Canis lupus familiaris: one gene and its partner. The protein of the gene in region 1 purifies or fractionates together with the protein of each later gene. This does not show direct contact. Links are inferred from orthologs where the notes say so. Each region holds a gene or a part of one and is shown in the gene's direction. Other genes may lie near its edges.

Region 1 (5,422 bases):
ATCTTTAAAAACAAGAAACAAAAAACAAAACAAAAAACAACAATCAAGTAGTCATGTTTGGAGCGGTGATTTCAGTGAGTTTTTTTTTAGTGAATCTTCATTTTTTTTTTCAGACTTTTTATTCTATGTCTGGCATCATTTATTGAAGACAAATATTTAAGGCTTTGAGCGATATTACAGTTTTGGAAGAAAACTAAAATACTGCGTTAGTTGAATCATCATAGTCTTTTATTGATTTTTTTAGAGAATGAACTCAGACTTTCCAAAAATCTTTCAGATAGTAATATGATTAGTTGATATGATTAGCTTAGACGTCATTAAAAATTTTTAATGAAATTTTCCAAACAGAAACAAATGTAGCAAGAATACCATACTGAACCTTCACATACTTCCTCAGTGGCAATAGACATCAAGGTTTTATTTCATTTCCTTCATCTGTCCCTTTTCCTCTTTTTTTTTTTTTGATTAAGTTTTTTTTTTTTTTTTTTTTAATTAAGATTTTATTCATGAAAGACGGGGGTGGGGTGGGGCAGAGACACAGGCAGAGGGTTACTTTTTTTTTTTTTTTTTTTTTTTAATTTTTATTTATTTATGATAGTCACAGAGAGAGAGAGAGAGAGAGAGGCAGAGACACAGGCAGAGGGAGAAGCAGGCTCCATGCACCGGGAGCCTGATGTGGGACTCGATCCCGGGTCCCCAGGATCACGCCCTGGGCCAAAGGCAGGCGCCAAACCGCTGCGCCACCCAGGGATCCCGGCAGAGGGTTACATGCAGGGAACCCAATGTGAGACTCGATCCCAGGACTCCAGGATCATGCCCTGGGCCGAAGGCAGGCGCTAAACCACTAAGCCACCCAGGGATCCTCTGGGTTAAGTGTTTTTAGCAGATTCCAGGCATCCTGTTATCTCACCCTTAAATATTTCAATAAACATTTTCTAAAAATATGAACTTTTAAAAAACATAAACAGTATCTCTATCACGGTTAACAACATTCATTATCATTTAACAAAATATTACCATTTAAAACCCAGTCCATATTTAGTTTTTACATGGTTTTGAAATGGAGTCAGTTGTTAAAGAAATTATTATCCAGAAATACATTAAGAATATGTATGTGCTACATTTAAATGAAAATGGAAAGATGGAGAGATTTCTCCTCATCCCCTGAGACCTTGTAAAGGGACACTGTATGTGCCTTGTTGTGTGTTTTATTGGGAAACAGGTTGAGTGAGTGATTCTCTGCAAACCTGAACATTATAGAATGAGTTGAGTCTTTATTCTGGACATAGGTCATGAAGATGGGTCAATATTTAAAGAGTTGAAAGGCAATTAGGAAGAATGACAAGAGCTTACTTTCAGGTATTGAAGGGGGACATCATAAATATTACTTTCCTTGATAACTCTAGTCTAAGTTATTCTATTCCTTTTCTGAACTTCAGTAGTATAATTGTTTGATACAATTTAACATTTCATTATATAACTGTTAATCTAGGGTTTTTATATAAGTATCTTAAACTTTCTTTGTGAGAGTATATAAACAATATCTCATGATAGTAAGGTCTATGATATTTATAATTATATATACATATATGCAGCTTTTAATAGAGGTTTTTGGAAGATCAGACAAAAAAGCTTGTTTTATCTTTTCTCCATCTTTACTATCTGAAGTTGACCCTGTAATAAACATTCACAAAGTATTTTAAACATTGACAAATGAGAGGTTATACACATACTAAAGCTATGTAATAGATTTGAAAACATTATCCCTATGATTATTACATGCTTTAAACTTTTACAAAATTAACTTACCTTACGTTTTTTAAATTAGGCAGCAGCTGTACAATTTGGAAACCTTATTACAAGCCAACTGTGATTTTGGTAAGTTTTAAGTGTTTTTAATGGCAGAAAGGATTGAATTACACATCTGTCTATGATGCATATTGGGATATCATAGTAACATGGAGGAAGAAGCATTAGGTTAGAAGTTCATGATAGTGTTTAGCATTCAGAAAAATATGACACTTAAATTTTGAGATTTATAGTATTTTCTGTATTTGTGATAAAATTGATTTAAGGCTAAACATTTTTTAAGGGAATTAGCAACTTGCTTTGGGAGTGGGAAGTGAGAGAAATTGCCTGAATTCATGCTGCCTTCTTTGCTCTTCTTTCTGTGTTTGACGTTTAATGAGTTACTCATTTGGGGGGTTTGGTATATGTTAAGGTGGTGAAGGGAATTGAAAGGCAGGGTGTTTTAGTGCAAGCTAACTGCTTCTCCTTTCTGGCAATTGTGCTACAGTGTAGTAATTAGAATCATGGCACTCTGGTCAGCCTGGGTTCCAACCCTACCTAACTGTCAGTCTCATACCAGAGAATAGTTCCCACCTCATTATTGAGTTCTTGTGAGGATTAGGTGATATCATTCAAGTGCTTAGGCTAATATCTGTTATTGGTGATGCTCAGCAACTAAAGATCACCTGGAATACACCTTTGGACAATGACAGGTTGAGTAGCTTACTGACAGAAGACGGAAGTACACCCATCATGAGGAACAATTGGGGCTTCTCAGTAGAAAGAGAGGGGCTTGTGATAGGGTTTGCACTTGTGCTGTCTGATTTGGAGTAGAGTTTAAGGGGGCCAGGCCTTTTATTTTTGATTGGATGCTGTTAAGCAGGAACAGTGTAATGAATATGTTAATTTTTATCTAGGAGATAGGGCCAAGAAAGGCTAGGGAGGGTTTTAATTAGTAGCGTAGTAATAGTCATGTTAGCTGCACAAGGGAAATATTTTGTTTTTGTATTTTGTTTGTTTTTCTGTAATTGCATAGTGCCATGTTTCTGTATTCAGACATGATTACAGAGAGATTTTGCTTTTGTCTTGTTTCACCATAATCACAGAGTGGCCTTGTCTGATTTGATTATTTTTGATATATTTTGATAATATTTTTTATATCATATTTTGGGAGGGAACATCATGACCTAGTTGTTAGCAGTCGACTGTCAGGACTGTTTTGTTTTTTCAGTATGTGCTCAGTAAATGTTGAGTATTATTTATCACCTGAGGCTCTGTTTCATGCCAGGTACTATATAAGGTGATAATGAATCAAAGTAGAAAAATCTGTCGAGTTTGTAGTTGGTAGGACATACAGACACATAAGCATAGGACGTGATAGATGGAAAAGTGTAGTAATCGTGGCAAGTATAAGCTGCTGTGGGAGCCACGGGCTGTTTACGTGCCCATCACAGAGTGATGCCACATCTCGGGTCTACAGAGATGAAGTAGAAAATAGGTAGGCAGAAATTTTGAGGACAAGAAGAGTTCCAGATAGAAACAACTGTATAGACCAAATCATCGAGATGTGTTAAAAGTTCAGGCAGCAGGAAGTGCTAATTAGTTTTGGTTGGATCAGAATGTATGATAGAGTCATGAATTGGGAAGGGATGAAATCACAAATGAATTGCTACTTGTATGGCTTATAAATTTTTTTGTCACTGCCCACTAACTATTTAGACTTTGATTAACACTTAATCTGTTTTGGTTTCAGGGAAGATATCAACCCTACACTGCAAAGCAGACAGTATTAGGCAGCAGTGTGTGACATTTCTTCATTATGTCAAGGTTTTCATCTTTAGGTAGGATGTCAAATGAATATTTTTATCCCTGCATGAATTTTTGAGTGCAAGTTCATCCAGACTCTAGTTATTTATTGTATCTATCTATTTTTTTAGGTACCTGAAAGTACAAAGTGCTGAGAGTCCTGTTCCTGTCCATCCCTATGAAACTTTGGAGGCACAACTACCCTCTGTGTTGGTTAATGAACTCCATGGATTACTTTTGTATATTGGACATCTATCTGAACTTCCCAGTATTAATCTAGGAGCATTTGTAAATCAAAACCAGATTAAGGTTTGACTTGTTTCATTTAATTATTAAATCATCAGTTTTTTTCTTTGCACAAGGAATATTCATTCATTCAAGAATGAGGGAAACTAGTCAAGAGTGAAGCTCGGGAACCAGATTGCCTGACTGAAATTCTGGCTCCTCTTCTAATTATATGCCATTGGGCAAGGAAAACCTCTTGCTTCCGTCTCCTCATGTTTGTAGTTGGTATATTTTCCTAGTTATTGGGAAAATTAAATAAATTAAAATTAATTAAATAAAGTACTTATAGTATAATCTATACTAAATCTATACTAAAGCAGTGATAGCTGTTCTCAATTCTAGTTTATAAAAAAAAATTCTAGTTTATAACATGCAAATATGTACAAATTTCAAAGCAAAAAACCTTTATTTTTAAAAATTTGTATCATTTTTCCCATTGATAAAGATTTGGGGAAACCCTAGATTATGTTATAGTAAAATTCAAGATCATCTTATAAAAGTTACACTTTCAAAATCATAGCAGTATTTCTATTCTTAGTAACTTTTGAGACTTTTTTGGAATATGATTAAGATTATTTAAACTATGCTCTTTTTTTCTACCTGTGAAATCATTCCTACTGAAGGTTTGTTTTTTAAAAATTTGTATTGAGGGATCCCTGGGTGGCGCAGCGGTTCGGCGCCTGCCTTTGGCCCAGGGCGCGATCCTGGAGATCTGGGATCGAATCCCACGTCGGGCTCCCGGTGCATGGAGCCTGCTTCTCCCTCTGCCTGCGTCTCTGCCTCTCTCTCTCTCTCTCTGTGTGTGTGACTATCATAAATAAATAAAAAAAAATTAAAAAAATAAAATAAAATAAAATAAAAATTTGTATTGAAAAAAAAAATTTGTATTGACAGCATGACCCAGCTTATCGATGTAATTAACAAATTCTCCATAGGAAATGTGAGCTTATATGAATGGCAAATTATAATTCCCCATGGGATTCCCTGAACTCTCAACTTCTTTCCTTCTATTTAACTTTACCAATTTGAATAACATTTGGATTTTAGGAAGGTGTCTTTGACAAAATGTAAAATATGAAAAAATGTTTATTTCTGTGAAATTTAACAACAAAAAAAATGCACTCTTCTTATCAGGGACCAATATATGTCAAATTAAAAATAAAGAGTCCTAAGTGAATTCACAGGTTCATATGTCTAATCCATAGAAGGCAAATAGGTAATTGCTTTTTGTTTTTTTAATTTTTTTTTTTTTATTTTAAGGTAATTGCTTTTATTCATGACAATAAATATTCGTGGAAAGATTATGGAGGAAGGGATATTTTTCCTTTATTTTGGTTTCTATAAATGGGACTGGCTTTATTTTCTGGATATTCATCAAATGCTTAAGAAAATAAAAATTTGGGCACCTGGGTGGCTGGGTTGGTCTTAGGCTCAGGTCATGATCCCAGGATCCTGGGATGGATTGAGCCCTGTATTGAATCTCACTCCCTGCTCAGAGGAGAGCCTGCTTCTTCTCCCTCTCCCTCTGCTCTTGTGTGCTTGT
Region 2 (5,905 bases), on another chromosome or scaffold:
CACAACGCAGAAAGAAAACCACAAAGTTGGAACGAATAAGTATTTAATTAAATACTTAGAAAATTACATCATGGCAACTTCATTAAATTTAGTATTCACATAAACAGTTGAATTACATTTGGAAATAACTTGAAAATTAGATTTTTTCAGTCACAAAAACTCACAAGTATGCCCAACGGCTGCCAAGAAATCATAGCTAATCATAAACGGGGATCTTCCTAAAGCCAAATCACCTCAAAGGAAAAACTGTCAATATTTTTAACCACAAAACATTTTTTTAAACTTAATGTGAAATGTAGATATCCTCCCTCCACCCAAAAAAGTGCCTAGCATCATGAGGCTTTATGACTATACCACCACCACAGAGGTGGCCAGGTAAGAAATGCAAGTGGCTTGAATTGGTGCTGTTCAGGCCTACACTCTAAGACAGAACTGGGGCCAGGGGACCCTTGCAAAGGCTTCTCTGAGAAAAGCACATGTGAACAGGTAGATCTGAATGACAAGAAGGCACCAGCCATGCCAAGAGCAGGGAGAAGAGGTTCTGGTAGGGGTTCCGCACTGGAAATGCCAGGTCAGATTTGTAAGGAACCAAAAGACAGTTTGGCTGAACTGAAGTGGGAGGCAGGGGGAGGAGTGGGCAGTAAGAAACATACCACGTAGAGTCTGCAAGACAATACTGACAGTATTCCCATCCAAAGAATAGAAAACTCATAAACTCACATTTAAGAGTGATCCAATTTGTTTCAGTCCTACACTCTCCAGGAATACGGCAGCCACTTGCCACAGGGGCTTATGAACACCTGCATGCAGATGGTGCCACTGCAGCACAGAACTTGCCCCCTCACTGAATTTTTTTTTTTTTAAGACTTATTTGAGAGACACAGAGAGTAAGAAAGAGAAAGAGCGAGCACGAATGGGATGAGAGTAGAGGGAGAAGCAAACTCCCGCTGAGCAGGGAACCTGATGCAGGACTCGATCCTGGAACTCCAGGATCATGACCTGAGTTGAAGGCAGATGCTTAACCGACTGAGCCACCCAGGCACACCCCCCCCCCCCCCCCCGCCCACTGAATTCTAACTGATTAACGTTTACACTGAAAACCCTGACATGTAGTCCAGCTCCTGGAAAACTTGTAAGCATGTTGGAAACAGACAGCGTGGGCCTGTGGATCTACATTTTCAACTGCCAATTTTATGAAAACTAAAGCCAGACTGATTATTTCAGACGAAAATGCAGCTGCACAGAGCACCTGGGTGGCTCAGTGGCTGATCATCTGCCTTTGGCTCAGGTCATGATCCCAGGTCCAGGCATAGCATCCCCCTATTGGGCTCCCCACAGGGAGCCTGCTTCTCCCTCTGCCTGTGTCTCTGCCTCTCACGAATAAATAAATACAAATCTTAAAAAAAAAAAAAAAAAAAAAGTTTTTTAAACAAGAAAGAAAATGTGGCTGCAACGGAAAACCCACGGGATTTCGAAGACTTGGTACTTAGTAAAAGAATGGAAGAAAGCTCATTTGTATTTTTTATACCTGTATGTGGGCATAAGATCTTGACTATCCTGGGTTAAAGATAAAACATTAATTTCACCGTTGTGGTGTTTTTTTTTTGTTTGTTTGTTTTTTGTTTTTACTTTTTCTTAAACGTGCTCGCTAGAAAAATGTGAAGCGAGAAGTGTGGCTCGGGTCAACTTTCCACGGGTCGCGGGTGGAGGCAGAGGCTCCGGGGTCTCCCAGGCCGGGCGCGACGGCAGTCAGACCCTGACGAGGGGTGCAGACAAGTTTCTGGTTGTATTATGCAGTCACGAGCCAAGTCAGGGAGTTTTCAACGGCCCCGTTCACCGGGGCGGGGCGCCTGTGGCCCCGGGAGTTGAGTGGCAGAGGCCGGACTCCCAAGTCCTCCTCCTTACTGCGCCGTCCACCTGAAACCTCCCAGTGGCCCTCGAGGAGGCGAGAGCGGGATTCGAACCGGGCCCGACTCCCGGGGCCACGGTCCCAGAGTGCCGCGTGACCGCCGCTCCGTCTCCCCTCAGGGGTGCGACCAACGTTCACAACGGATTCCCCCGCCGCTGGGCCTGAGGGGCCGGGAGTCCCTCAGGGAAGGTCCCGGCAACGCTCACCTGCGAACGGACGCCAGGGCGACAAACGCTCCTCCTTCCCTCTCTCTCTCTCTCTCCACACGCGGCTCAAGCACGCCGGCAGCCGACTTCCGCTTCTGGGCGGCGAATCCCCAGCTAAGTATTCCTCTCTTCCCGCCCCACGACCAACCCAGCCAATCACGTCGCAGAGAATCTGCATCCGCCCTGCCAGACGCCGGCCTGCCAATCACCACGAGAGCCAGCGCCGCCCTTCCCGCCCTCTTAAGCGGGCGCCGCGCGCCACCGCTAGGCGGTTGGCGGAGCTGCCCTCCGCCGGGCTGCGTCCCCCGGAAGGGCGGGGCGAAGCGCGCACCACGCCGGTGCGGGAACCTTTGGGATTGGCCGAGAGGAGACTCGCGCTCTGCCTCCGTCTACCCCCGCCCCCAGACATCCGAGTCGGAGACGCTGGGGATTGGTTCCCGCTGGACACCCAAAAAAGCCAAGAAATGATTCCGCCTCCCTTGAGCACCCCGGCGAGGGAGCCCCACGGATTGGCCCGAGGAGTCTCGGCGCGCGCCGACCCGCGCTCCACGATTGGCTGAGGGTGTGCTCGCGCCGTCGGCGAGCGCTGACGGTGATTGGCCGGAGGGTGGGGCCGGCTATTTGAAGGAGGCGCGCGGAGCGAAGGCGCACTTCAGTCGGCGGACAGAAGAGGCGGGAGCGGTAGGGAGTAACGCTACCCCGCTGACCGCAGAGGACTCAGGCGCGGGCTCGGCCCCAGCTGTGGCCTCTGCCGCGGCCCGGCGAGGCGATGGCCAAGGTTTCTGTGCTGAACGTGGCGGTGCTGGAGAATCCGAGCCCTTTCCACAGCCCCTTCCGGTTCGAGATCAGCTTCGAGTGCAATGAGGCCCTGGCGGACGGTGAGGCTGGGCCGGTGTGGAGATACCCCTCCCCCACCCCTCCCCACCTTCCCAGACTTCCCACGAGAAACGAGCCCCCCCCATTCCCCTCCTCCCCTCCCCTTCAGCCCCAGCCTCCTTGAGAGACTGCCCCTGACACCCCTGGCCAAGCCGCCCCCGCCCCACGGTTACTCCCATTTCTCCCGCGGAGACCTCCTCATCCCCCCTCCCCCTTCCTGTGGAGCTTCTTTGACCTGCGGAGACCTCCAGTCACCCAGACTGACCCTCACAGTTATCCTTATGAGATCCCTTTCCCTCGTGGCAAGACCTTACTCGTCCCCATCTCCCCATTTGTCTCTCCGTACAGCCGGTCTCCCCTCCCTAAGCCGCATGATATTTAAAACAACCCCATCCCCACCCACTTCGGATTGTTTTCTACCCCCAAAGCACATACCCTGGACCCTGGCTTCCCACCTCCTTATCCTGGCCCCAGTTTTACCAGCTTGCGCCCACGGGGGGAAGCACGGCAGGTTTCCAGCTCCAGTCTTTCAGGATAACTTGGTCTCCCCAGTTCCCGTGCCTCCCTCCTGTCTGTGTGCTTCGATAAACACGCTCATATCTGAAGGGTGGCAACACCAGGCAAGCATCAGCCGGTTCCCACTGTCTGCCCACCAGGTTCCAGCAGATCTATTGCAGCAGTTCTTCCCACACTTTTGATGGGCTGACCCAGTCTGGGAGTTGGGGCCAGGCTGAGCCATGACGGTATCTGGCTTCAAACAATCGGCTGGGAGGTCAGAACTTTTTGTGAATCTTTTCCAAGGTGCTTTCACAGATGGACTTATTCATCTGTGCGTTATAAAGGTGGACATGGTTCTCATCTCACAGATGAGAAGACAGGAACCACAAAGAATGAAAGACCTTTCAAGTAAAGGTCTATAAAAATCGAAAATCTAAGGTTGCCCAGGGACTCTTGGCACCACTTTCAGGAGGAAGTACTCCATTAGACAGATTCTTCACTTGGTGGTTAAAGAAGAGGCAGCAGGCAGCTGGGGAGATGGGGATCTATGAGGCCATGGTGTGCTAACTAGCGCCCCTCAGTGGTAGGTGGGTGGTTTGTGGGAAAAGCCAGCCTTTTGTGTTAGTTTGGGGTTGATAAAATTTGAGATGTGTGTGCTTTTGGCCTGGGCCAATAGATCAGTCTCTCAGCTTCTCTCCTTTTTAAATTAAGGAATCTACTTGTGACTAACTATAGAATAAGCCCAGTTAAATCCTTTCTGGAACAAGCCAGGGTGTAAATAAATAATTAAAGTGTAGAATGACACTGTGGAATAAGAATTTAATTTTAAAGACAGGAGATGTAAGGAGCTAATAGGTTAAGGGATTCACAGTTCCCAGAAGGCAGGATATCAGGTTTCAAACAGCCTGTTTGTGCTCCTTGCATTTAAAAAGGGTTGCATAGTCATTATCTAGTACTTCTATTCCTAGGAAAACCCCTGCCCTATTACTTTACTAATCTGTTTATAGACTCAGAGCAGGAAAGTCAAAAGTCAACCTGCTGGTCATTATTTTTTAATAGAGAGAAATGGGCTGACTTCTCTGAGGTCACACAGCCTATCTGTAGAAGTAATGACACTAGAGTTTGTCTCTGAGTTGAGTCCAGAATTCTCTACCTTTGCTATTATAACCTGGGAAAAAAAAGAATTCATCCCTTATTTTATTTTATTTTACTTTAAGATTTTTTGTTTATTCGTGAGAGACACAGAGAGAGACAGAGGGAAAAGCAGGCTTCCTGTGGGGAGCCTGATGTGGAACTTGATCCCAGGACCCCAGGATCACAACCTGAGCCAAAGGCAGATGCTCAACCACTGAGCCATTCAGGTGTCCCTTCATCCCTTATTTTAGAAGTGGAGCATAAATAAAACTGACCAAATAATTGATTTCCACGTTGGGACGCTCTCAAAAGAAAATGAAGGGAGTGCTACTATTAATTACACCCAGACAATAAAGCTTTTGCTCAGAGAAATGGAAGTTGGAAAGCAAACTCTGGCCTGGAAATCCAGACTCTGGTTCTACCCCTAGGGCTGTCCATGACTTTGACCTGCCAACTTGCTTTCTGCCTATTCCTGGCCTTCTTCCCATGGAACAGAGAGAATCCGTTTCCTGCCTCCCAAAGAGATGGAGGGGGCCTGGCTTTAGAAGTCTCTCAGATTCTGGAGAAATCTCAGTCTCGTTACCTTGACGCTAGCAACTGAAGCTCTGACAAAAGACCCAACCCCCAATCAGTGACTGATTCTATTTCCCAAGGGGTTCTTTTTTCTCCTCAGCATCTAGAAATAGATGCTTCCTAGGCATGGGTCCACATTTAATACATTAGATGTGTTTTTCCTCTCTTCCATTGAGAAATTCAACAGCCACTGTTTGAATAAGTCATGAAACCAGATGTTCTGACCCACAGCTAACACCGTGGGCAGGCCAAGATTCATCTATATCATCTGAACACTGGCAAAGTGATAAATAGAAAAAAGCCTACTAGATAGTTTTTGTGTTGGTTTGTTTGTTTTAAGGCAGGAAACATTCTCCAGCTACTTCAATGAAAATGAACTTTTACATGCCTTCGATCAGGTTGTTAGTTTTGGTTTTGTTTTCGTACATAGTGGAAGAACATGTTGTTGACTGTTCCATTGCAAAGTTAGGGCCTAAAGACAAAATTGAATATTGTCAAGTTACCCTTGAAATTGCCTAAAAAGTTAGGCACACCGTGTTATGCATGTACAATCGCGTCCTGTATTCAGAAGGAATGAGTTTGTGCTGTACTCGTGATGGACATCCGTGGTTATATTTTAAAAATGGAGCCACTTAAGTATGCTTCTACTAAAAACGCTTCAGCAAGTTTAAGGCAATCCAGTTTTTAGGTCCTTATTTTCAAGCATCTG

Evidence for each region.
Region 2: the proteins of MMS22L (region 1) and ASF1B purify together in Homo sapiens (co-immunoprecipitation; 4 studies listed by BioGRID and IntAct, counting the BioPlex papers as one, with this or other methods). This does not show direct contact. The link is inferred for Canis lupus familiaris from reciprocal best matches to the Homo sapiens genes MMS22L and ASF1B.

The regions. Positions count from the first base shown.
Region 1 is NC_049233.1:55,967,023-55,972,444, reverse strand, and holds part of MMS22L (protein MMS22-like), read left to right. Parts: intron 1-1,828; coding exon 1,829-1,878; intron 1,879-3,541; coding exon 3,542-3,629; intron 3,630-3,725; coding exon 3,726-3,903; intron 3,904-5,422. UniProt on the Homo sapiens protein: Component of the MMS22L-TONSL complex, a complex that promotes homologous recombination-mediated repair of double-strand breaks (DSBs) at stalled or collapsed replication forks.
Region 2 is NC_049241.1:48,794,223-48,800,127, forward strand, and holds the start of ASF1B (histone chaperone ASF1B), read left to right. Parts: upstream 1-2,416; 5' UTR 2,417-2,884; coding exon 2,885-2,993; intron 2,994-5,905. UniProt on the Homo sapiens protein: Histone chaperone that facilitates histone deposition and histone exchange and removal during nucleosome assembly and disassembly. Cooperates with chromatin assembly factor 1 (CAF-1) to promote replication-dependent chromatin assembly.